3 separate regions of the Mus musculus genome follow, and regions 1 and 3 are each reported to be linked to region 2. Evidence: microRNA targets listed by miRTarBase, many of them from high-throughput screens and not tested one by one. Region 2 holds a microRNA gene; each other region holds the end of a gene's coding sequence.
Evidence for each region. The annotated mature microRNA mmu-miR-687 reads CUAUCCUGGAAUGCAGCAAUGA and lies in region 2 at 3,269-3,290, opposite strand. An mRNA with a match to its seed (bases 2 to 7 or 8) in the 3' UTR can be bound and repressed. Matches are read on the target gene's strand: a 7mer-m8 pairs with bases 2 to 8, a 7mer-A1 pairs with bases 2 to 7 and ends in A, and an 8mer does both.

Region 1 (7,200 bases), not on the chromosome of region 2:
AAATAAGCCAGAGCAGACTCACAACGATCCAGGACAACTTTGAGGCTGTTTTTCCTGCTTGCAGTAGCAGTGTGATCCCTGAACAGAATTTCCACCAAGAGAGGTAAAAAGAAAACTCAAAACTACTCCAGCCAAAACTCCTGCGAAGTGAAATTTGGGAGGTGGCTAAGTATAAATACTGGGTATTGGGATGGACTGACACAGGCTAATCCTAGAAAGATTAGAATGTTACTGCCACCTACTGTCCCATCTTCATCAGTGTTGAATGATCACTTCAAAGTATTTAGTAAGTCATGAAGAAGTATTTTCCATTAAAAAAAAAAAAACCCACTATCTCAGAAGGACATTTCACTGTTATCTGTTCTTCCTAGAAATATGGGGCCTTAGAAATTAAAGCCACATGCAGTCCTTATTAAAAATATAATAAAATAACCCACCCCAGCCATCCCATTACTGGTGACTATAGAAATTTGTTATGTATAATTTACATTCTTTCCAGTACTTTCTGTTTTTTCAGAAGAGAAGGGCAAAGCTCTATGACTTCTCCAGATTGTAAATCACATTACTGCAGGCAGAGGGAGCGAAGTGGACAGGATTCCCAGAGAGAGGTAGAATCTTGTTTCTAGGGATGAAATCTTAGCCTGTTCAGGCCACGTACACAAATGGTTAGACAGACCCCAATTTCGAGTACTAGACTTGTAGCCAACATATGGAAAGTGGCAGTTTGGTCACCTTAAATGAGGCCCTGATACCTGAGTCTCTTTGAAGAAGAGGCGTACACAATCTGACTGTCCACCAGTCATCTGCGGCTGGAGGCACAGAGGCTCTGTCAGGTGGTGGAGAACAGGACAGGAACATAAGCATTGTGTCCAGACTCGAAAAAGAGCCTTGGGTTGACCTAACAGCTTCTTCTTGGCCTAGTACTCAGGAACAAGGGTCCAACTGTCCCATGCCTCTTATCCAAGAAAAAGGCCATCAAACTACAGGGCTCACAGAACATACATTCATGTGAGCATCTGGGACAACCTTTCCTCTGGAATTAGGATATTACTCTGGCAACTGGTGCATAAGTGAAGTCCTGTGTTTTGGAGGCTGCTGGAAATATACGGGCTCTGAGAACTACATGCAGTTGTTTCAGAGGTTCCAAGTGCTGTTGTCTTGAAAACTTGTTCTCTATGGTGCTATATAAAACTTGTCCTCCTGCAGCTGATCTGGGTATTTCCACTCCAAGAGAAGGTACGAGATCCTAATAAGCAGGCAAGCCAGAGACTTTACTCGTTCCTGGTTGTACCTGCCTAGAACAAACCTTATCAGCCTGTGATATACAGAGCAATGAGACCAGCATCCCTTGGTTATGACAGTGAGCCGAGTCAGAGGTCATACTTCTAGAAAGGGAGCATTCTGTCATCCTGCCTACAATTTGACCCTATAATGAAGGGTATTAGGTGTACTTTACATATACCAATACAATCTTTTGGTTCTTTTATATGAGATTTGGAGAAGTCACTTTCTTTTAATGATAGGCAAATCTCATTTGTTGTGGTTTGTGGAACCACAGAGAGTCCTCTTTTCAGCACGTAGAAAGGGGAGAGGGCTCTCTACCCTGGAACGTGAATGCCTGACTACTATGGCCATTGGAGCCCACAATATACAGACCCTCACAGTTTCAATGTCATCAGAACATTCCAGTACCAAAGAAAATGCAGTAAGTAACATATAGTTATACTACAAAATGTAAGCATACGTCCAGATACCTGAAAAGGCCCTCAAGCTGGTTGACTCAGCTGGGCAAGCAAAGTCTTCTAGCAAATTATATTTTCTCCATAATGTTCCTGTCATTAGTAGGCGCTGGTGGACGAGATGTGCTAATACCCTCTTTTGTGCATTAAACAGCAGTCAGTCATGCAGGGGGCCTGGAAGTCTTTCCTAGGACTGTGGGTAGGAAGCTAGCCTGACATGCACTTCTCTAGTGAGTCAGGGACACTGTATATAAAGGCCAGTTTTCAGCATGAATAATGAGGTCCAGATTATAGAGAAATATAAACTAAGCTGAGCCATATGAAGCCTCAATGGGACCTAGACTATTGCAACCTTTGAACAGTGTGGGACTGTGGCAAAATATATCACCTTAGAGGTCAGGAAGCTTCAAGTTTCTATAGGCCTGGAATCATAGCACTCAGTAGGCTGAAAAAGGAAGACATCTGTGATCTCAGGGCCAGCCTGGGATACATAGAAAACCCTTGTGTTTTTGTTTTGTTGTTGTTTGTCATTTTCTTCTCTTTTCTTTTAAATCCGTCCAACACATTCAAAGAAAGTAATAGCAGGGTAGACAAAGTCCCAGATGAAAATTTTAAAGTGGACCAAAGAACAGTTTTAGGAGACATCAGAGAGAAGGAAGATCTTTTACAATTTAGCAGGCCTTCAAGCTAAACAATTCAAGTCTAGCTATTTGTCCCTTCTTTTGTAGACATTAGTCATTATTCCTTTAAATTATTTGGGAAGAGAAAGGAGGCCACCAGGGTAAGAGGAAAAGCAAAAGGGAATGATGGGAAGTATAATCTAAGTACAATGCATACATGAATGGAAAGGAAACATATTATTTCGTACAATCAATATATGCTAACAAAATTACTTTAAGTCCACAGAAGATAGTAAAATTGAAAAGCTACTATGTTTATTTATTGCATCAAATTTCAAAAGTCTGACTAAAAAAAAATATTATAACCTTTACCTGTGACTGTCTTATCATCAGGTTTAGAATAAAAGGTGATAAAGGGAGATATGAAAATCTAGTAATTCTGGATGAGCAGTAATACTGTGACCCATCAGTATCAGCCACTCCAATATCTACTGCAAAGAACAAAATCTTAAATATAATCATAGCAACATGCATCCTTGTAAAAAAAAAAAAAAAAAAAAAAGAAAAAAGCGATGGTCTACTAGGTGCTGGGATGCAGGAGCCAGAGGTCTTTTTCCATACAGAAATAAAAAATACATAGGTACAAGTGTCCACTTGTTGGATTTCTAGATATTTAAGTGACACTCACCTAATAAACATATGGTGATCCCAGGAGTCCCATGACAGTCACCGAGTACAACGAATGGGTTCCAAGCACCCAGTGTTTAGAGGGTATACTGCAGTCTATCCCCAAAGGCCCAGTTTCTTATTTCCCATCCAGTGGTAAACCTTTTTTTCCTCTGCCCAGGCTCCCTTCTGTTCACTCTGTGAAGGCTGGGAAATTCACCATTTACCTCCAAACATTCTAGACTAAATTTCAAAAGGTAAGCCTTATTGAACAAAGCAGGTATTATTTCTTAGGATGCTCTAAAGCAAGTGGTTTCTAAGTAGGAACCAAGAAAGCTGGAACTGATAGAACTAATTTTATTTTCCTGGGTGAGACCTTGATTTCCAAGTTCACTTAGGAGGCAGTTGCAGCAAAGGCTGGCATTTACGAGATGCTGAGTATCACTAAAACCTCAGTGGGGTAGTGAACATCTAAGCATGGCTGGGAGGGCAAGTGGGCAAAGCCTCTTGGTGAAAGGTGAAAGGGACATGAGGGAAAGGAGAGAGGCCTGTAAGGACCAAGGATAACAAAAGGGAGAGGATTTGACAAGAAAGACACTCAAAATCTCCTCCTGCTTTACACCATGAACTGTGGTATCTTTAAAGCCAGCAATCTTTCAAGAGGGTCATGAGATGACTTATAGTCACCACTCACTAACAGATACCTCTGGAACATACGCTCTACTTTCAATCAACCTAGGGTCAATTTCCAGACGTCGGCAGAAACTTAGACTAGGACCAGTGGTATGGTGTGGGGGAAAACGGCACAGTTATGCACAGTGTTGGTTTCCTCATTGCCGTAGCTAAAACACTTTCTCAAAGTGAAAATGAAAGTTTGAATTCAATGCACATGGAAAGTATCTAAGGACTTTCCTAGCTGTTTCCTACAAAGCCATAGAGAAATAATGCTTTGTATGCTTTGATTCTTGCACACTCCACAGGCACTTTCTGTCTAATTATAGAAGTTGGGCATGTGCCTCTTCAGAGGGGTTGGCCTACCCGCTAGATGAGTCCCACAGTGCCAGTCCCTGAACTGTCCTGGAAAACAAACTTGGAAACCCTCATACAACCTATATGAGCAATACAAAATTTTAGGCTTATCAAAATTGCACAGAAATAAAACACTCTTCTATCTGCAAAGCAAAGCAATGTTTAAAAGTTATAAATATATTCATAAAAGCCTGTTTTGGCCGGGCGTGGTGGCGCATGCCTTTAATCCCAGCACTCGGGAGGCAGAGGCAGGTGGATTTCTGAGTTCAAGGCAAGCCTGGTCTACAAAGTGAGTTCCAGGACAGCCAGGGCTATACAGAGAAACCCTGTCTTGAAAACCCCCCCAAAAAAGCCTGTTTTGTTTGATGGAATGTGAGGAGAGAGCCAAATCTCAGTAGCAGAGCCCGTGTCTAGTACACAAGAGGCCCCAAGTTCAATTCCAGAACTGCAAAATGAGGGATGAGGAATGATAGGTACCTCTTTGTTCCCCTTTAAACAGGCTCATGGAACACTATGGCAAAGTTTAGAGCTGTGGCCTGCCATAGCCTCTTGGGGTGGACCAGTGGACATGTGTGGCTGGCTGAGAAAGCAAGTCTGTGGGTGGCTCTTAACTCAAGTGTTCACCCAGAGCAATAACGGTGAGTCGAGTTTTTCTTCATGATTGATTTAAATCTCTCATCTGGGAATTCTTTTTCAAAAAAGAAAGGAAGGAAGGGAGGGAGGGAGGGAGGGAGGGAGGGAGGGAGGGAGGGAGGGAGGGACAGAAAGAGAGAGAGAAAGCAAAATAAAACATAACTTTTATAGTTCAAAGACTCCCTTTAAGGAGGCAAAGAAACAGAAATCATCGTGCTTTGGTGAGTGAGCAGCAGGATTGTTTGTAGCAAGTTTGTTTTACAGCCCACTTGTCTGAGAAAGAAAATCCAACCTAGTAAGTAAGACCATAGTGACAGACAATGCCCCTGCATACACTTCCATTCCCTGTGGATCACTCTGGAAGGTTCAGATAGGACATATATGTGTAAGCCCCTTTAAAATATATTTTTTCTTTTTTCTTTCTTTACCATATAGAACACACATACATACATATTATCCTAAGGTCAACTGCAAAATATGAACTTGCCTCCAAGTAGTTAAAAGACTAATAAGATACAAAGAAACATCATTCTAACAAAGACAGATCATTGATGAGCTGTTTAATGTGAACTGATATATTTAAAACAAGGATCCAGGGTAGACAGGGAGAATGTTTTAGTAGAACATGGCACAGATGAAAGTTAATTAATACCCACTAGCACCTCACATGAGCCAGAAAGACAGAGTAGGCAAAACATCACAGAGGAAAAACCAAGCACATGGAAAAGGACCCTGGCAGGGAGCCCCACTGTCCCAGATCCGCTCGCAAGGTCGTTCTTGTGCACTCAGTCTGGACAGTGTCTGGAAGGGAACAAAACAGTTCTAATCTGAAGCCGAGGCTCCAGTGCCAGCAGCCAGCCTCTTCACTCCGGCTGGGGTCATCTGCCATGTGGCTGGGGACTGAGTATGCTTAGCTGGGACACCAAAGCTCCTTCCACCCTTTGTTTCTCTAGAAGGAACCCTCCCCCAATTTCAGCAGTGGATTCTGGAAGCTTTGAAGCTATTTAACTCAAAAACATGAAGTAAAAGCAGACTCTCTGAACTTAAACAATCAATCAAATGGACAGGCAGACTCATAAAAATAAAACCAAGCGACCAGTTCATTAGCCAGTTAGTTAAGTCAACATCTGAATGAAGACATTTATACAACATCCACAAGACACACCAGCAGAGAGCCACTGCTGGCAGCTGGGAATAAACAGCTATCCTGTCCTTCCAGCACACTGTATTGCTACCAGAGAATGCAGGCCATACGCTGAAGTTTAGAGACTCTTCCAGTTGGCAAAGGACCCCGAGCCATGGTCAGCCTAGTGTGTGTCCAGGTCTATGGGAGACAAGACTTACACTCTCAAGTCACGATCCCCTAAGCTCCCTCGGTTCTTTCCGTACATTATGATCTCTGCATAGGAAGGTCCAAATATGCTGTTTTCCTCTCGGGTCTAGGCACTCTGGAACATCTGACATTAACTAGCTTCCTTCATTTCTTTCCAACTCCATTAGTGACTTTGGACTTAGAATGCCGGTTCCTTCTTCTGGAAGAATGGCTTTCGTGGTTGCTTGAATGCTTCGGTGGGCTGTCTTCAGAACCTGCCCAAAGAAAGCCAACACATTATCACCAGGGGCCTCTGGGCTTTGTGGCTGACTCCTGGGATCTGCCATGCTTCTCAGCTAAAATCCAATTCTTACTTGATGTCCCTCTAGTGGCCCCATTAATAAATTAAGGCCAGGGGAATCTGACAGTCTTGTCTATGCCTTGTGTGTACCAGGTAACTGTCCCATAAAACTGGAGTTCTAAGTAATTTTTAGTCTGGGACACAGTCATGAGGACCAGAAGTGAGTTCAAATGAAAGCATAAACATTAATAAAAGTTCAGCCACACTGGTAGGTATCCATCTTATGCTTACAGCTACAGTATAGATTCCCCAAGTCTGTATACACTGAACGGTTAGACAGGCTTTGTAAGGTCTCAGTTGGAAAAGATTCTTGACTTTATAACTTTAAAACTATTAGCAGAGACATCAAGATCTTTACAGGCAAGGTACCTGATGCTCTGAGTGACAGCCCTGAGGTGACATTGTAACACTAGGGCTACTGTTTCCTCTGATATGAGGATGTGGCCAGCCCCTAAGGGAGTGGCTAAGCCTAAACCCTCTCTTCTTCAGTGTTCTGGTTCAGTTCTGGGTGAAATATTTACCAAAGACAGCCACTTAACGCCACTCCCCAAAGGCCCAGAAGCATTTTGTCTTCATTCGAAGTATTTGTCACAGTCCCAAAGGTTCTGAAAAGTTTCTCCTCTCTCTCTCTCTCTCTCTCTCTCTCTCTCTCTCTCTCTCTCTCTCTCTCTCTCTCTCACACGCACACACACTTCATATGCTGCATCACTTGCACACATAAATTCTTTCTATTGGAGAACGAGGAATGCCCAGGGCTGATTATGTAACTGGATGGGCCCAGAGAAGGTCAGTCTAGTGAACCCCTTTGGCCACACAGGTCAGCAGACTGCAGGGTGCTTG
Region 2 (7,200 bases):
CAACTGCTCCACATACCTAGCAACCTGGGTTCTAGCTATCACAGAAACCCACATAAAGGTGTTCAGAGACAACAGTCTCTACAAAGCTGTTCTCTGTCCTACCCATGTGTGCCATGGCATGCGAGCCCCGCTCATCCCAAGAAATATAACTTTATAATGTATGCTTATAAAGAAATAATCACATTTTAATTAGTATTTATATTGGTATTTAGTAAATGCTATTTGTTATGTGAGATACTTATTCCATTTGTCTTCATTTCAGCCACATTACAAGGGGTTGAAACTAGGGCCTTGTCAAATGTGTTAAGCTAGAACTCTATCGCTAAGCTACATCCCAAAACTTTGACCTTTTAGTTTAAGACAGGGTCTCACCGAGTTGGCCAGCAGGTGTAGCCTCCTAAGCAGCTGAGATTATAGGTCTATGTTACCAGACTTAATCTTAGTTATAATTTATATTTTTGATAATTAAGGTGAAAAAGCATTTCTATATGTAGCTCAATAAAGAAGTAGTAGCTATGTAGATTGTCCTGTCTTCCATCTCTTTGGTTAAGTGACATCCTCCCACGCACATTTGATTAATCAGAGTACCTAAGCATGCTGCATGAACAGAATGCCACAGTTCTCTAACGCTTTACCAGTGATGTGCCCATTGGGATGCTTAATAGTGTGACCTTTTCCCTGGCTAAAATTAGCACCAATGCACGCTGGGCTTGTTGTTTCCTTCCTGTACTTGAGAAACTGAAGCAGTGAGTTTGAAGCTACCCTGGGTTACATATTGAAAGATAAAGCTTCTTAGAGGAAAAAAAAATAAGATTAGCAACTGGGGAGGTAGGAACTGGGAAGAGGGGAGGGTAGCAATCAGAATGTATGGTAAATAAATTAATAAATTAATGGGAACAAAGAATAGCAATACAGAACTGATTTTGATTAAGATCAGCAAACAGCCATCATTATAATCATAATATGGATTATTTATCACCATCAGAAACTTCCAGAGTATACACTGCCAAGTCATGTGGCAGCATGGGACTCTGTACATTTACCTAAGAAGACATGGTGTTACATCTTAGCATGTTACACAGTGAGCTGAGGACACCTGTACACAGATAATCAGTTACAAAGCACATCATACAGAGAGGGATCTGGACACACACAGCAGCCTTTCACCGTATTTCCAGTTATGTTTTACTTCATGTTTTTCTACAAAGTTTGAAAATGTATTCACAAGTGTGCATTTCTCATGTAATTACTGTACTACTCGGGTAGCTTCTAAGAAGCTAATAAAGTGCTTCTTCTCATTTACTTTTCTTGCCCACCAGGTACAAACTACAGGTACTGAAAACGGCTGCTGAGATGGCATTAACTATACTAGTTAATGGGACTTCTGCTTTATAAACATCCAGCCAGTTTCAAGTAGCCTATGATAACACCTAAGTAGTCCAGTGAAGGGCTTCAAAGCCAGACTCCAAAGCGTATATCCTTATTTCTATTTCTGTGTGTGAATGATCTGTGTGTGTGAGTGTGAGCAAGTGTCTCAGAATCAGAGAACAACTTTTGTAAGCTGGTTCTCTGCTTCTTCTATCCAGGACTCAAACTCAGGTCATTAGTTCTGTGGCGAGTACTTTCATGGGTGGTACATGCTGCCAGCCCTAATGACTCCATTTTCATAACAAGCAAAACACTATAATCCATGGAGCTTACAGTAAATTTTTAATAAAGATTCTGGGTGTGATGGCATACACCTTTAATCTCAGCAGTCAGGAGGTAGAGGCAGGTGGATCTCTGAGTATGTACCCTGCCTGTTCTACTTAGCAAGTTCCAGGCCAGCCAACGGCTACATAGTGAGACCCTGTTTCAAACAAACAAACATGTTAACCTAAAATGTTCTACTTTGATGGCTTATGAAACTATTAGTGTTTTGAGGCACACGTGGATATCGGTTCTTAAGCTATACACAGAAGAGACCTCAGCAGCTAGGCAAGCACGAGTGATACACAAGCCCATCCAGGCACACACCTTTTCTTTGCCCCCCACCCCCCAAAAAAACCCTTTTCACACATTCACTAAATGCACATAAAGAAATCAGACATTCAACAGCCTATCCCATTTTGAATTTTAAAAAGCTTTACATTTTCATGTTTAAATCAAAATTGCCAAGTGCAGTATTACTGTTTTCAGCATTCCCTTAAAAAGGAAACACCAACCTTGATCTCGGAGTCATTTTTGTGGGTGTTGGCAGACCTTCTGAAATTTTATAAGGACTCTTTAGGGGTGATATATAGATGTTACCTCCAGGAATCCGTAAGGGTGAACTAGAAAACTTGTAAGGGCTTCGAGGAATGTGAGGTATTGGTGACAAGGTAGGAGGCTAGACCCAAAACAAAAGAAAAAAAATCATCGATGTAGTATTTTGGTAGGATCCATTATATTGTTATTAGATTTATCCAATTAAAGAATATTTTCAACATACCCTGGTGGAGGCATACTGTAAAATATTTGTTTTTAGTCTCTGCATGAAAACGGAGTTATAGAATACTATAATGGAATCAAACTCCTCTTCTCTGATCAAAACACGTTTAAAGGTCTAAGGAAAAAAAACATGTTAAATAAATTTAAGAACTTCTCTTTAACTTTTATTTTAAAATAATTGTATTTAGTTTTATTTAAAAAACACATTTTATACAGAAAACAATAATCTAACCAAGGCTCCCTTAGACTGAAATTATAGGTACCCTATTTAAAGTGAAATGTCACCAAGGTGATCCAGAGAAGGGGCCTGGCAGCCACCGACAGAATGCTGGCCATTCTACAAGGGAGTTAGGCTGTGCTAACCAAAACCCAGCACCATCAGCACTACTATACAGACAACATTCACTGGCCCGTAGCAGCTTTCAACCCCTCATCTAAAGGGTTTAGAACATGTACACCACTCTCCTGCAAGAAACAGATTTTTCGTAGTAGAAACAGATTTTTTAAGTAGATTTTTACAAACAAGTTTTTGTTTAATAAGCAGGGTCTAGCTATGCAACCTCATACTTCGTGACATCTTCTTCTCACTTATTCTGAATGAGAATTACAGGTCTGGGACACCAGGTCCCACTTGTATAAATGTTCATCAGGTAAAACTAAAGACATCTTATGGAGTGCCTCTGTTAAACAATATGTATATAACCAATTTAGAAAATAACTCCAAATATATAATGCAAACTAAACTGGTTTGTATCACTTTCCAAGAATACAATGACAGACTGAAACAATAACCCAGGATTCATTGCTGCATTCCAGGATAGTGTAAAATGTGTGTCAGACTATGTGTGTTTTACCATGATAGCATCTGTGGGAGAAGAATTTAGAGGTATAAAATGGGCTTGCACTGGGAAATTTTACTAGGTCTTTATAAGGACTGACTTATAGTATCTTTTCCTGCGGAAAAATAAAAACTATATGTTATGTCAAAGTTTATTTCAAATACCCCAGTTATTATTATATACAAATATAGTACTATTTATGAAGATTTGGATTTCATAGTTTGCCATAGTTTTATAATTATACTTCAGTTACAAATAATTAACCAACACTAAAGAAGTAAATAAGGATATATGATCTCTATTTAACAACTGAAGTAAACTATGAATACTGATTTATTTTTCAGTCTTACCATGAGCGGCTACCTACCTCCTGGGCAGCGTGAGGAAGATCCTTGTAGGCAGTGACGATGATTTTGAACTTGAGGTCGATGTTCTTCACCTTGCAGATGCCATACATAGAGCACATCATAATCTAGCAAGCGAGTGACAGAGGCATGAGGGACCATACTACCTCACCTGGCTCTTTTAAGTATTATTAAAAGAAGGAAATTTAATTTCTTCTGAGTTTTCCCCTTATTCTGAGCTGTTCAAAAGTCTACATAAGGTATTTAATCAAAACATTTGTATTTACAGAACAAAATGCAAGCAGCTAACTCAATTACTCATGACTGACTACCAAGTTTGTAAAGTACCCTGACTTTGGCTTCAGTTCTTTAGTATATATCAAAAGTATTGAAACTCTTAGAACAAGCTAATTGTATGATGAATACTGTTTTAAGGCTGTGTGAAAAGTTTCAAGCTATCAACTGAAGTGACATGTAATAATCTAGGGAGTAAGAAAGTGCTGCTGACAGACCTTACATTGCTCATGGTGTTGTGATCTGTGATCTGAATGTAGGCTGGATCTGTTTTGTTGCTCAATTTTCATCAGAACATATCCTTATGATAAATGGATTTTCTATATGGTATCTTTCAATAAAACAACATTTAAAATGTAAAACTAAGATTTGAAAATGATTCCCTGGGGCCTTAAATATCAATTTTTAAAACGGCTTTTTTGGTCTAGTTCAAGTGTTGGTCATTTCTGTACCATTTTTGCTTCCATCTGCTCTGAGCAAAGGTTTCTATCCCCACCCCTGCTCAGTGTGTGATGACTGAGCTTCCCACCGAGCGCCACTGATGACGACAGACCAACTGATAGTCTTCTTCTACTTTAATATCTTCACGTTTCACTCATAAAACTCGGAATTGCAAAAAAAAAAAATCTCTAGGAATCTGGGTTTCCCTTTTATAGAAAGTGGCAGGAACATAAAATAATAGCTATCTATTTAAAAACACAGTGTACTGCAGCTTATACATCCAAATACATGTTAAGTTATAATTATGTTTTTGTTTAAAATATCATTCTTGTTGGGAACATTACCAGTCTTACTGAAATAAGAGGATTATATGAGAATATTATGAAAATTATGCACCACTAAAAGAACTAAGATGACACTAAGTTCCTCAAGTTATGCAGATGCCAATATCGACTGAAAAGTAAAAAAGCTAATTTTGAATTACTAAACAGTAAGTGTTCACACACACACACACACACACACACAAATCCCCATACCTATGGGACCTCATTGGTGAATTCAGCAAAATTCCAAGAAGAAAAAGACTCAATATCAATATCAATTCTTAAAAAGTTCTTCTGAAATTAGAAGTTCCCAACTATCTGTATGAAGCTAATACTTTGCTGATACAAAAATCACACAGATCAACAAAACAATGAAATAAAAATAATTTCCTTTATTATTAAAGAGAATAGAATACATAGGAGTATAGTTAATAAAATAAATGTAAGGGGCTGGAGAGATGGCTCAGCAGTTAAGAGCACCAACTGCTCTTCTGAAGGTCCTGAGTTCAAATCCCAGCAACCATATGATGACTCACAACCATCTGTAATGAGATCTGATTCCCTTTTGTGGAGTGGAGTATCTGAAGACGGCTACAGTGTACTTACTTATAATAAGTAAATAAATCTTTAAAAAAATAAATGTAAGACTTGTATTCTGAAAACTATAAACTATTATTGAAAGAAATTAAAGCCTGGAAGGATGGGAAGGAGCCGCATCCTCCGTATGGATTGAAGACTTCATGCTACATGTGACATCCCCCAAACTGACACATTAGCCCGTGAACTTTCTTTCAAAATCTTCAGAGAAAATGACAAGTCAGTCCTAAAACTCACATGGAAATTTAAGTTTCAGGACAGTTAAATTGATCTTGCAAAAAGAACAAAGTACAATTGTGTCTCTTTATTCCAAAAAATTGGAATGCTATAGTAACTAAGACAGTGTATTCTCACCAAAATAGCTACATAGATAACAGACTGGAAATGAGTCTCAGGAATAAACATGTGTACACTAAAAAAAAAAAAAAATCAATAGACTTTCAACAGCTGTCAACAGAGAAAAAGAAAAAGAATAATAATAAAAAAAAAGGATGCATTTCAAGAGATGGTGTGGGAATGGGCATAGCTCAGTGAAGTGTTTGCCACAAAGTAAGAGGCCCTGGATTCACACCAAGGAGAAAGAGTGAGAGGAAAGAGGGGGGTGGGGCTCCTGTGCTGGAACAACTGGAGGGAGAAGTCCTCCCCTGCCCTCTTGCAAAACTAAGTCAAAGTGGATTGAAACTGAAACAGAAAACTAAGAGCACAAAGCTCTTGGGAAAAATGAGGTCTTGATGCCTCCAAACTTGACAATGTTTTTGTTCATACATCAAAATACCAGTAGCCAAAACAACCAACCATCACCACCAACAACAACAAAAAAAAAAGAAGCAAAAAACAAAACAAAAAACAAACCAAAGATGACCTGAAGTTTCTCAGAGGATAAAACATTTTCAAAACACATATTTCATAGAAAAAGATATATACAGAACATATTTTTTTTTTAAATCATTGCCGCCTGTTGTGGTGGCTGTGCCTTTAATTCCAGAACTGAGGGGCAGACTTAGGCAGAGCTCTGTGAGTTTGAGGTCTGTTTGCACACCGCCACGCTCAGTGAGGAAGACTCTTGCTGTCTTTTCAGAAAGGATTTTAACACACACTTCTCTAAAGCAGATGTTCGCTATCATTAGCTACCAGCTACATATGCCTATGATCCAGCCCCAGGGGACCCAATGTCTCTGGCCTTCACAGATACTGTAAACATGCATGTACCTACACATAGAAACACCCTCCCACACACACTTAAAAATAATAAATCTTTAAAAATAAAACATAAATTGGTAAAGCCATTTTAGAAAATATCCCTGCCATTTCTCAAAAAGGTTAAAGATTTAACATATGACCCAGAAATTTTACTTACATATACATAGAAAAATAAAAACATGTTTTACAAACCTTATATATGAATATTGACATTATTCATAATACATCAAAGAAGAAATAATCCAGTTTCTATCAACTGATGAATTATAAACATAATGTAGTATGTGACAGAAACTACAACACAGATGAACCTTGAACCTGTGCTCTATAAAGAAGCCATCCACACTCAAGGCTGGGGACGAAGTTCAGTGGAAGAACATTTGCCTAGGATTTGCAAGGTCATAGAACTCAGTCAGGACCCTACCCTGCACACCTGCACACACGTGCGCGCGCGCGCACACACACACACACACACACACCCTAAATATGAAATTACATATGATTCTATTTACATAAAATGTTCAGATTCGACAAATCTACAGAAAAAGAAAGTAGATTTATGTTGTTGAGGACTCTTAGAGACAACAGAGTTTCTCTTTGGTGTGAGAAAATGGTTTAAATAAAATAGATTGTGTTAGTAGTTTTACAACTCTACAAATATACTAAATCACTGAACTATACATTTAAAAATGT
Region 3 (7,200 bases), not on the chromosome of region 2:
AGCAGTACCTACAATGGCCCAGAGCACTTTGCAATCCACAGTGGGGATGGACTTGGCACCAATGGAAATACTTTCCATGAACAGCCCTTTAAGACCCAGCAGTATGGGAGCCAGCTCAACAGGCAGCCACTGACTTCCAGTGCTCTAGATCATGCCTGTGGTACAGGGATTCAAGGGTCCAAGCTAAAAGGCAACAGCTTGCAAGAGAATGGGGGTTTGCTAGATTTCAGCCTGTCCGTGGCACCAAATGAGTTAGCTGGCAACACAGTGAATGGCATGCAAACCCAAGATCAAATGGGACAGGGATACATTGCCCATCAGCTACTCAGTGGCAGCATGCAACACCAGGGGCCCAGCCGCCCTGGTCAACAGGTACTAGGGCAGGTTGGTGCTACCTCACATATCAACATCTATCAAGGGACAGAGAGCTGCCTACCAGGGACTCAGGACAACAGCAGCCAGCCATCAAGCATGGCAGCTATCAGGGGCTACCAGCCCTGTGCCAGCTATGGGGGTAACAGGCGTCAGGCAATGCCAAGGGGCAACCTCACTCTGCAACAAGGACAGCTCAGTGACATGAGTCAGAGCAGCAGGGTGAACAGCATCAAAATGGAGGCACAAGGTCAGTCCCAGCAGCTCTGCTCTACCGTGCAGAATTATTCCGGTCAGTTCTATGACCAAACCATGGGCTTCAGTCAGCAAGACAGGAAAGCTGGCTCGTTCTCCCTCTCAGATGCCAACTGCCTGCTCCAAGGGAATGGCACTGAAAACTCTGAGTTACTCTCCCCAGGTGCTAACCAGGTAACAAGCACAGTTGACAGCTTTGAGAGTCATGACCTAGAAGGTGTGCAGATTGATTTTGATGCCATCATAGATGATGGGGACCATACCAGCCTAATGTCAGGGGCCTTGAGCCCAAGTATTATTCAGAACCTTTCCCACAGCTCCTCCCGTCTCACCACTCCGCGGGCATCCCTCCCATTCCCATCCCTATCCATGGGCACCACCAACATGGCTATCGGGGATATGAGTTCTTTGCTGACCTCCCTTGCAGAAGAAAGCAAGTTCCTTGCAGTTATGCAGTAGGCGGTAGGCAAGGAGGACCACAAACACAAAGACTGAAATGACTTGGGATTTTTTTTTCTTTTTTAAGTTCTGTGTGTATTTTAGCAATCTCATCTCACCTGATTGGGATGTGTCTCAAGTATATTCCTTTTATGGAAAAGGACTCTGAAAAACCCTAAGGTATTCTAGGGGAGGAACTGTCTTCCATTTCAGTTTGAATCAGTATTGTGACATTCAAATCACCCTTGTTTTTTTGTTTTTTGTATTTTTTTAAACCTGTAAGCCTGCCCTCTTTTGAGTGAACCAATGTAAATGTATACTGCGCATGTTCTTTCTTTTAGAAGAGAAGTCATCAAGTTAAAAGATTTGGCCTGCTTCTCTGCTAACCCAGGAACTAGGAATTGGTGGGCTTGTGACCAAGGGGTAACAGGTCCACCTTTTTAAAGTTTTTCTTTACAGTACTCAGTGACTTGCTTTTATGTGTGTATGTGTATTTTTTATTCCCACACTGAGTACAAGAATTGAATGAATAGTGAGCTTGAAGATTATTTGTGGGTGCACTATAGTTAGTATAAATAGCAGGTTTTCACGTGTCCTCCACCTTGATTCAATTCAGGGCATACTTTTAACAGCTTCACAAAAGTGGAAATGTGGGGATCCTGGAAATGAAGTAGTTTGATGAGGGTTTTTATAGGGGGTAATTCTTATGTAAGTACGCATCCCGTGGGTATGTCTATATGGTCAGCTCTCCATTATCTCCTGTACATTCCCTTCACCTTTATGAACATTCAGTGTTATTTAGCACTGCAGTGAGAGTGGACAGGCAGTTGGTGTTCAGATGTGTCACACTTTTAGCTTTTTGGTACGAAGTTAGACCAATTATAGGTTGAAACAATTGGGTAGAATTACTTGGAGGACTGTTTTTTGGACTTGCTATAATTATTCATTAGTCCCACCTCTTTCCTCATTGTCATAGGTAACTGAGAATTGAATTGACTATACATAGCTCTAAGTAGGTATTTAAGCAGCCCACAACTGGATACATCACTACCGTTTATTAAATTCACTACAGCAAGAGAATATGTCCTTTCTAAGTGCCCTATTATAAAGGAAAGATGTGTAAAACCTAGTTATAAAAGGCAAAACTCACATACATTGACATCAGAAATAAATTACTTTAACCAGTTTTAGCACTGGAGAGCATGAAAGTTGATGTTTAGTAGCCATGTGAATTTCAGATACCATTAGTCCTTACCATTGGACTAGGGCTTTTGTTTTGTATTCAGATTTTAAAGATTTACACAGTGCAGCTGCTCTTCACATGTAGATCAGATATGAGAGTCATACTGTGTGTACACAGAGTTCAGGGATTATCTTAGCATACTACTTTAAAACCGTAAACAATTAAAGTGTTTACCCATCAGCCCCAACATGGAATTTCCCCAAGGCTGTTATTGACCGGGTTGTGTGACTTCTCCTCTTAAATCCTGCCTGTAAATTTAGGAGTAGGAAGGCGAAACCCAGTAGGTGTTAGGTAATAGGAAGGATGCTATGACCAGCCAATTTCACTTAGGCCTGTTTTCTCTCTTTTGGAGCCCAAACTTCACCAGGGAAGAAACTTTGCCATGTAGGATGACGTTGTGGCTAAGCTAGCTTTCTGATAGATGTCCCCAGGACCAGTCAAACCATCTGTAAGTTCACCGTGCCCTGCAGCCTTCTCCCAGAGGTTCCTTATAAATCAAAGGACAGCCCACAAGAAAGGGGAATTACTGGTCTGAGTTCAGGAGAGTAAATAAAGCAAGGCTTCTTTTTGCCTCAAACAGGTCACAGTGTCATCACAAAATGGGTGATGGAATCCCTGAATTTCATTTATCAAAAGTCTTTTTTGTTTTTTAATCTCTGGTTTGGGTCTGACCTGGCATGCCTTATTATTTGGCCAAATCTCTTTATTACTTTTGATTTCAAAGAAGGGGTTCAGGAATTCTTCCTTCCTCAGCAAGAAGAATGAGCTTGGTTTCTGGTCACACCCATTGCCTCCTGCAGCAGAGACCTCTCTAGGTGGAGGCCTTGCATGTGACCTTGATGTTCTCAAGTGCAGTGATTTTCCATGTTAGCGGTCCCTCCTAGGAATGCAGTGCACAGAGCCAGCACCCCTGCCTTCTTACCTTCTGCTTTTGACTTTTTCATTGTTTTCTTTTTTCATTGTTTTTTTTTTTCATCCTTATTTTTCAAGCTATTGCCTTTAGATTTTTGGAGTTGATGTTTCCACTCACTATCTGACCTTTCTTGATATGAAGATTTCAGGATACAGATTTAAAAAAAAAAAAAAAAAAAAAAAAGGAGAGTCAAAAGTGTTCTATCCCAAGATTTCACCAATCTGTCCTGATAGTCCAGTTCAAGAATGATCATTTGGTCACTATAGCTAACCCATGGGACATGAGATCTCTTTAGGCTTGGTCTTTCCTGTCAAAATCCCACTCCTGGTCAGCAGCCCCTTTCCAGTCCTTGGCTCTTGTATTTAGGAGAAACAGCTTTGGCTCTCTCATGTCACACACAGCTGCTTTTTAATGAAAGTACAGGCTCATACATGGTACTCTTGTTTAATGTCTGTGTTAAATGGTTTGGTGTTTGTTTGTTTTTTTCCATAATTTTTCTAAAGAATTAAAGAACTCACTTCCCTGCTCCTCACGTGTTGGCTTGTCCTGAGCCACGGGTTTTGATTCTTGCAATGTATGTGCCTTATTTTATGTTTCTCTTGTCGATGAGAAGGACCAGTTGTTGTTGTTGTCCAGTCAGCACTCAGAGGCTGCATGCCCAGACAGTGTCACCAGGAAGTGAACACAGGACTGTGGCAGTCTGCGGTGTTGGGTGACCCGATTTCCTGTGTTGTTTGAAGCTAATAGGAGGGTGTTCTCCTCTGACAAGTTACGCTTGTATATCCTGCAGATGTGTAAAATAAACTGTGTTCCTTTTCGCCACCATTTTTTAGATTTTTTAAAGAAGAAAATGTGTAATCCTTTTTAAAGAACAACACAATGTAAATACATTCAAGTATTGTAGACGTAGAGTTGGGATGTGATGGCCTCGGGCCTTCCTTGGAAAAGCCTGTGGCTGCTCAGTGCTCCTAAGCCATGAGAATGGCAGCCCAGAAACATGAACTCTGCCTTGGCTTTCAGAACCACTTAGTCCTTTTATAACAAAGAAAAAAATAAATAAATAATAAAAATGTTTCTTACAGTGTCAATAAAAAAAACTTTGTACTGAAATATTCTACTGGATTTCTTTTATTTAATTCCTGTTTTTAAGAAAAGGACACGTTCTCAAGAAAACTCCCCAGGCTATAGTTGACTCCCCAGTGAGTCCATGGGAAGGAGACTTCTGATGGTAATGTGGAGGGCACTATTGCAAACCAGTGTGAACAGCAAAGGAGACAACATTTCTGAATGTAGATAGTCACTGGAAGCTGTGTTAAAGTAAGCCTCCATGGGCTGGTGAGATGGCTCATTGGTTAATGGCACTGGCTGTTCCAGAGAGTTGAGCTTTGATTCTCAGCACCCACATGGTAGCACATAAAGGCATGCAACTCTAGCTCCAGGGTTATATTAGACTTATGTTAGAGGTCTCTAGAGAGACAGAGATCATAGAGATCGTGTGTGTGTTTGTGTGTGTGTATGATTTATTAAACTGGCTTACAAGCTGTGGTCTAGCTAATCCAACGATGGCTACATATTAACAGAAGGTCCAAAAATCCAGTAGTTGTTTAATCCATGGTCTTCAGTGTTCTCTGAAATCCCAAAGAAGTAGGCTTTAATGCCAGTGAAGAAATATACTTGCTAACAAGAGCAAACAAGGAAAGCGATTATTTCCTTCTTCCAAGAAGTGAAGTCTAAGTTAAAGATAGATCCTCCCACCTTAGAAATCTGGATTAGAGGTTTACCATCCTGCCTCAAAGACATGGATTAGAAGTGAGTCTTTCCAGATGATTTAATTAAGAAAAAAAAAAATCCCTCACAGGTATGCCCAGTCATTTGGGCTTTTGTTAATTCCAGATGTAGTAAAAGTGACAACTAAGAATAGTATCCATCACACCAGTTGAATTTACTGTATTTATTCACTAGAAGGAGATGAAAATGCTGGCAAATTAATTGATAGTATAAGACATTCACCTCACATACACAAGGTTGTACAGAGCATGTTAATAGGCCTATGTTTCTTATTTTTACTGATTTGTCCAATTCTGTGGAAGGGTGATAAGAGGGTTAAAAATCTGACAACTTGTCTCCTTTTTATATACTATCCTTTTATCTAGAGATACACGAACACATAAATGAAAACCTGGCAATATAGAGACTTTTCCAGCACACTTCTTTTAAATTTCTACTTTATTCTATGTGTATGAGTGTTTTGTCTGTATATATGCCTATAAACCATGTGTATATCTGGTACCCACAGAGCCAGAAGAGTGCATCAGATCCTCTAAAACTAGGGTTGCATGTAGTCTTGAGCCACCATGTCGGTGCTGAGAATCAAACTCTGGAAGAATAGCCCGTGCCATTAACCACTAAGCCATCTCTCCAGCCCCATGGAGGCTTACTTTAACGTGGCTTTCAATGACTAACTCCATTTAGAAATATCTTTGTCTTTGCATTTTCACACTGGTTTGCAGTAGTGCTCTCCACATTACCGTCTAAGGTCTCCTTTGCACTTTGTCAATGCATGTTGTATGCCATCAATTTAGCACTGTTGCTGGGAAACGGGTGCTGACTGGGTATCCCAAGACACAGTATCAGAGCATCCTTTGTAAACACAGGCACACATGAACTTGAGCATGCCCTATTCATTCCCAAGGGGAAATTCCATTGCCCCCAAATGCTTTGATCTCTCACAAAATGTATCCAAATAAATTTGGGGAAAAATAAGAAAGCTTGAATTTGGAAGGGTGAATGAGAGGACTGCAGAAGCAACACAGCTTCTGGGACAGACCCCTTTTCGGGCTCCAGACATCCGAGCTCCTTCCCCGCCAGAGAAGAGGTTTCTGCCTGGGAGGGCTTGGCCTGAGCAGGTAAGGGGGCCATCTTAGGTCCGGATACCTCAGAGACTAGTCTGCCCAGGTGAGAGTGCAGACTACAGAAGCAACACAGCTTCTGGGACAGACCCTGTTTCGGGCTCCAGACATTCCAGGCAGAGGAGAGGTGTCTGCCTGGAAGGACTCTGACCACCAGAGCAGATGAGAGAGTCATCTTGTGTCCCCTGTCCCTCGGAGACCAGTCTGTGCAGGTGAGCATACAGACTGCAGAGGCAACACATCTGGGAAAGGCCCTGTTTTGAGCCTTCATCTTCAGCCAGGAGGCAGGTCTGAACTCCAGATATCTGTGCACCTTCCCTGCAAGAGGAGAGCTTGCCTGCAGAGAGTACTCTGACCACTGAGACTCAGGATAGTGCTAGTCTCCCAGGTCTGCTGACAGAGGCTAACAGAATCACAGGAGGAACAAGCTCCAATCAGAGACAACTATAACAACTAACTCCAGAGATTACCAGATGGTGAAAGCCAAATGTAAGAATCTTACTAATAGAAACCAAGACCACTCACCATCATCAGAACTCAGCACTCCCACCTCAGCCAGTCCTGGATACCCCAACACACACGAAAAGTAAGACTAGGATCCAAAATCATATCTCAAGATGCTGGTAGAGGACTTCAAGAAGGGCTTTAATAAATCACTTAAAGAAATACAGGAGAACACTGTTAAAGAGGTAGAAGTCGTTAAAGAAATACAGGAAAACACAACCAAACAGGTGATGGAATTGAACAAAACCATCCAAGACCTAAAAAGGGAAATAGAAACAATAAAGGAAACCCAAAATGAGACAACGCTGGAGATAGAAACCCTAGGAAAGAAATCTGGAGCCATAGATGTGAGCATCAGCAACAGAATACAAGAGATGGAAGAGAGAATCTCGGGTGCTGAAGATTCCATAGAGAACATGGGCACAACAATCAAAGAAAATGCAAAATGCAAAAATATCCTAACTCAAAACATCCAGGAAATCCAGGACACACATGAGAAGACCAAACCTACAGGTAAAAGGAGTAGATAAGAATGAAGATTCTCAAAGGGCCAGCAAATATCTTCA

Region 1: miRTarBase lists Ptdss1 as a target of mmu-miR-687. Seed matches in the 3' UTR shown: 7mer-m8 at 5,891-5,897 and 7mer-A1 at 5,141-5,147.
Region 3: the mRNA of Gli3 is a reported target of mmu-miR-687. Seed matches in the 3' UTR shown: 7mer-m8 at 3,367-3,373.

The regions. Positions count from the first base shown.
Region 1 is chr13:66,996,042-67,003,241 of GRCm38, reverse strand. Ptdss1 (phosphatidylserine synthase 1) reads right to left here. Exons shown (of 13, transcript NM_008959.3): 13 at 4,841-6,274. The coding sequence ends at 6,165. 4933433G19Rik (RIKEN cDNA 4933433G19 gene) reads left to right here. Exons shown (of 9, transcript NR_045851.1): 6 at 1-103; 7 at 3,207-3,282; 8 at 4,554-4,692; 9 at 6,188-6,424. Among named protein-coding and RNA genes, the nearest start is that of 4933433G19Rik, 33 kb to the left of the region's middle.
Region 2 is chr14:73,203,540-73,210,739 of GRCm38, forward strand. Mir687 (microRNA 687) reads right to left here and starts at 3,312; the gene lies at 3,224-3,312. It overlaps Rb1 (RB transcriptional corepressor 1), which reads right to left. Exons shown (of 27, transcript NM_009029.3): 21 at 3,676-3,780; 22 at 2,471-2,584; 23 at 2,205-2,368.
Region 3 is chr13:15,725,696-15,732,895 of GRCm38, forward strand. Gli3 (GLI-Kruppel family member GLI3) reads left to right here. Exons shown (of 15, transcript NM_008130.3): 15 at 1-4,331. The coding sequence ends at 1,086. Among named protein-coding and RNA genes, the nearest start is that of 4933412O06Rik, 73 kb to the right of the region's middle.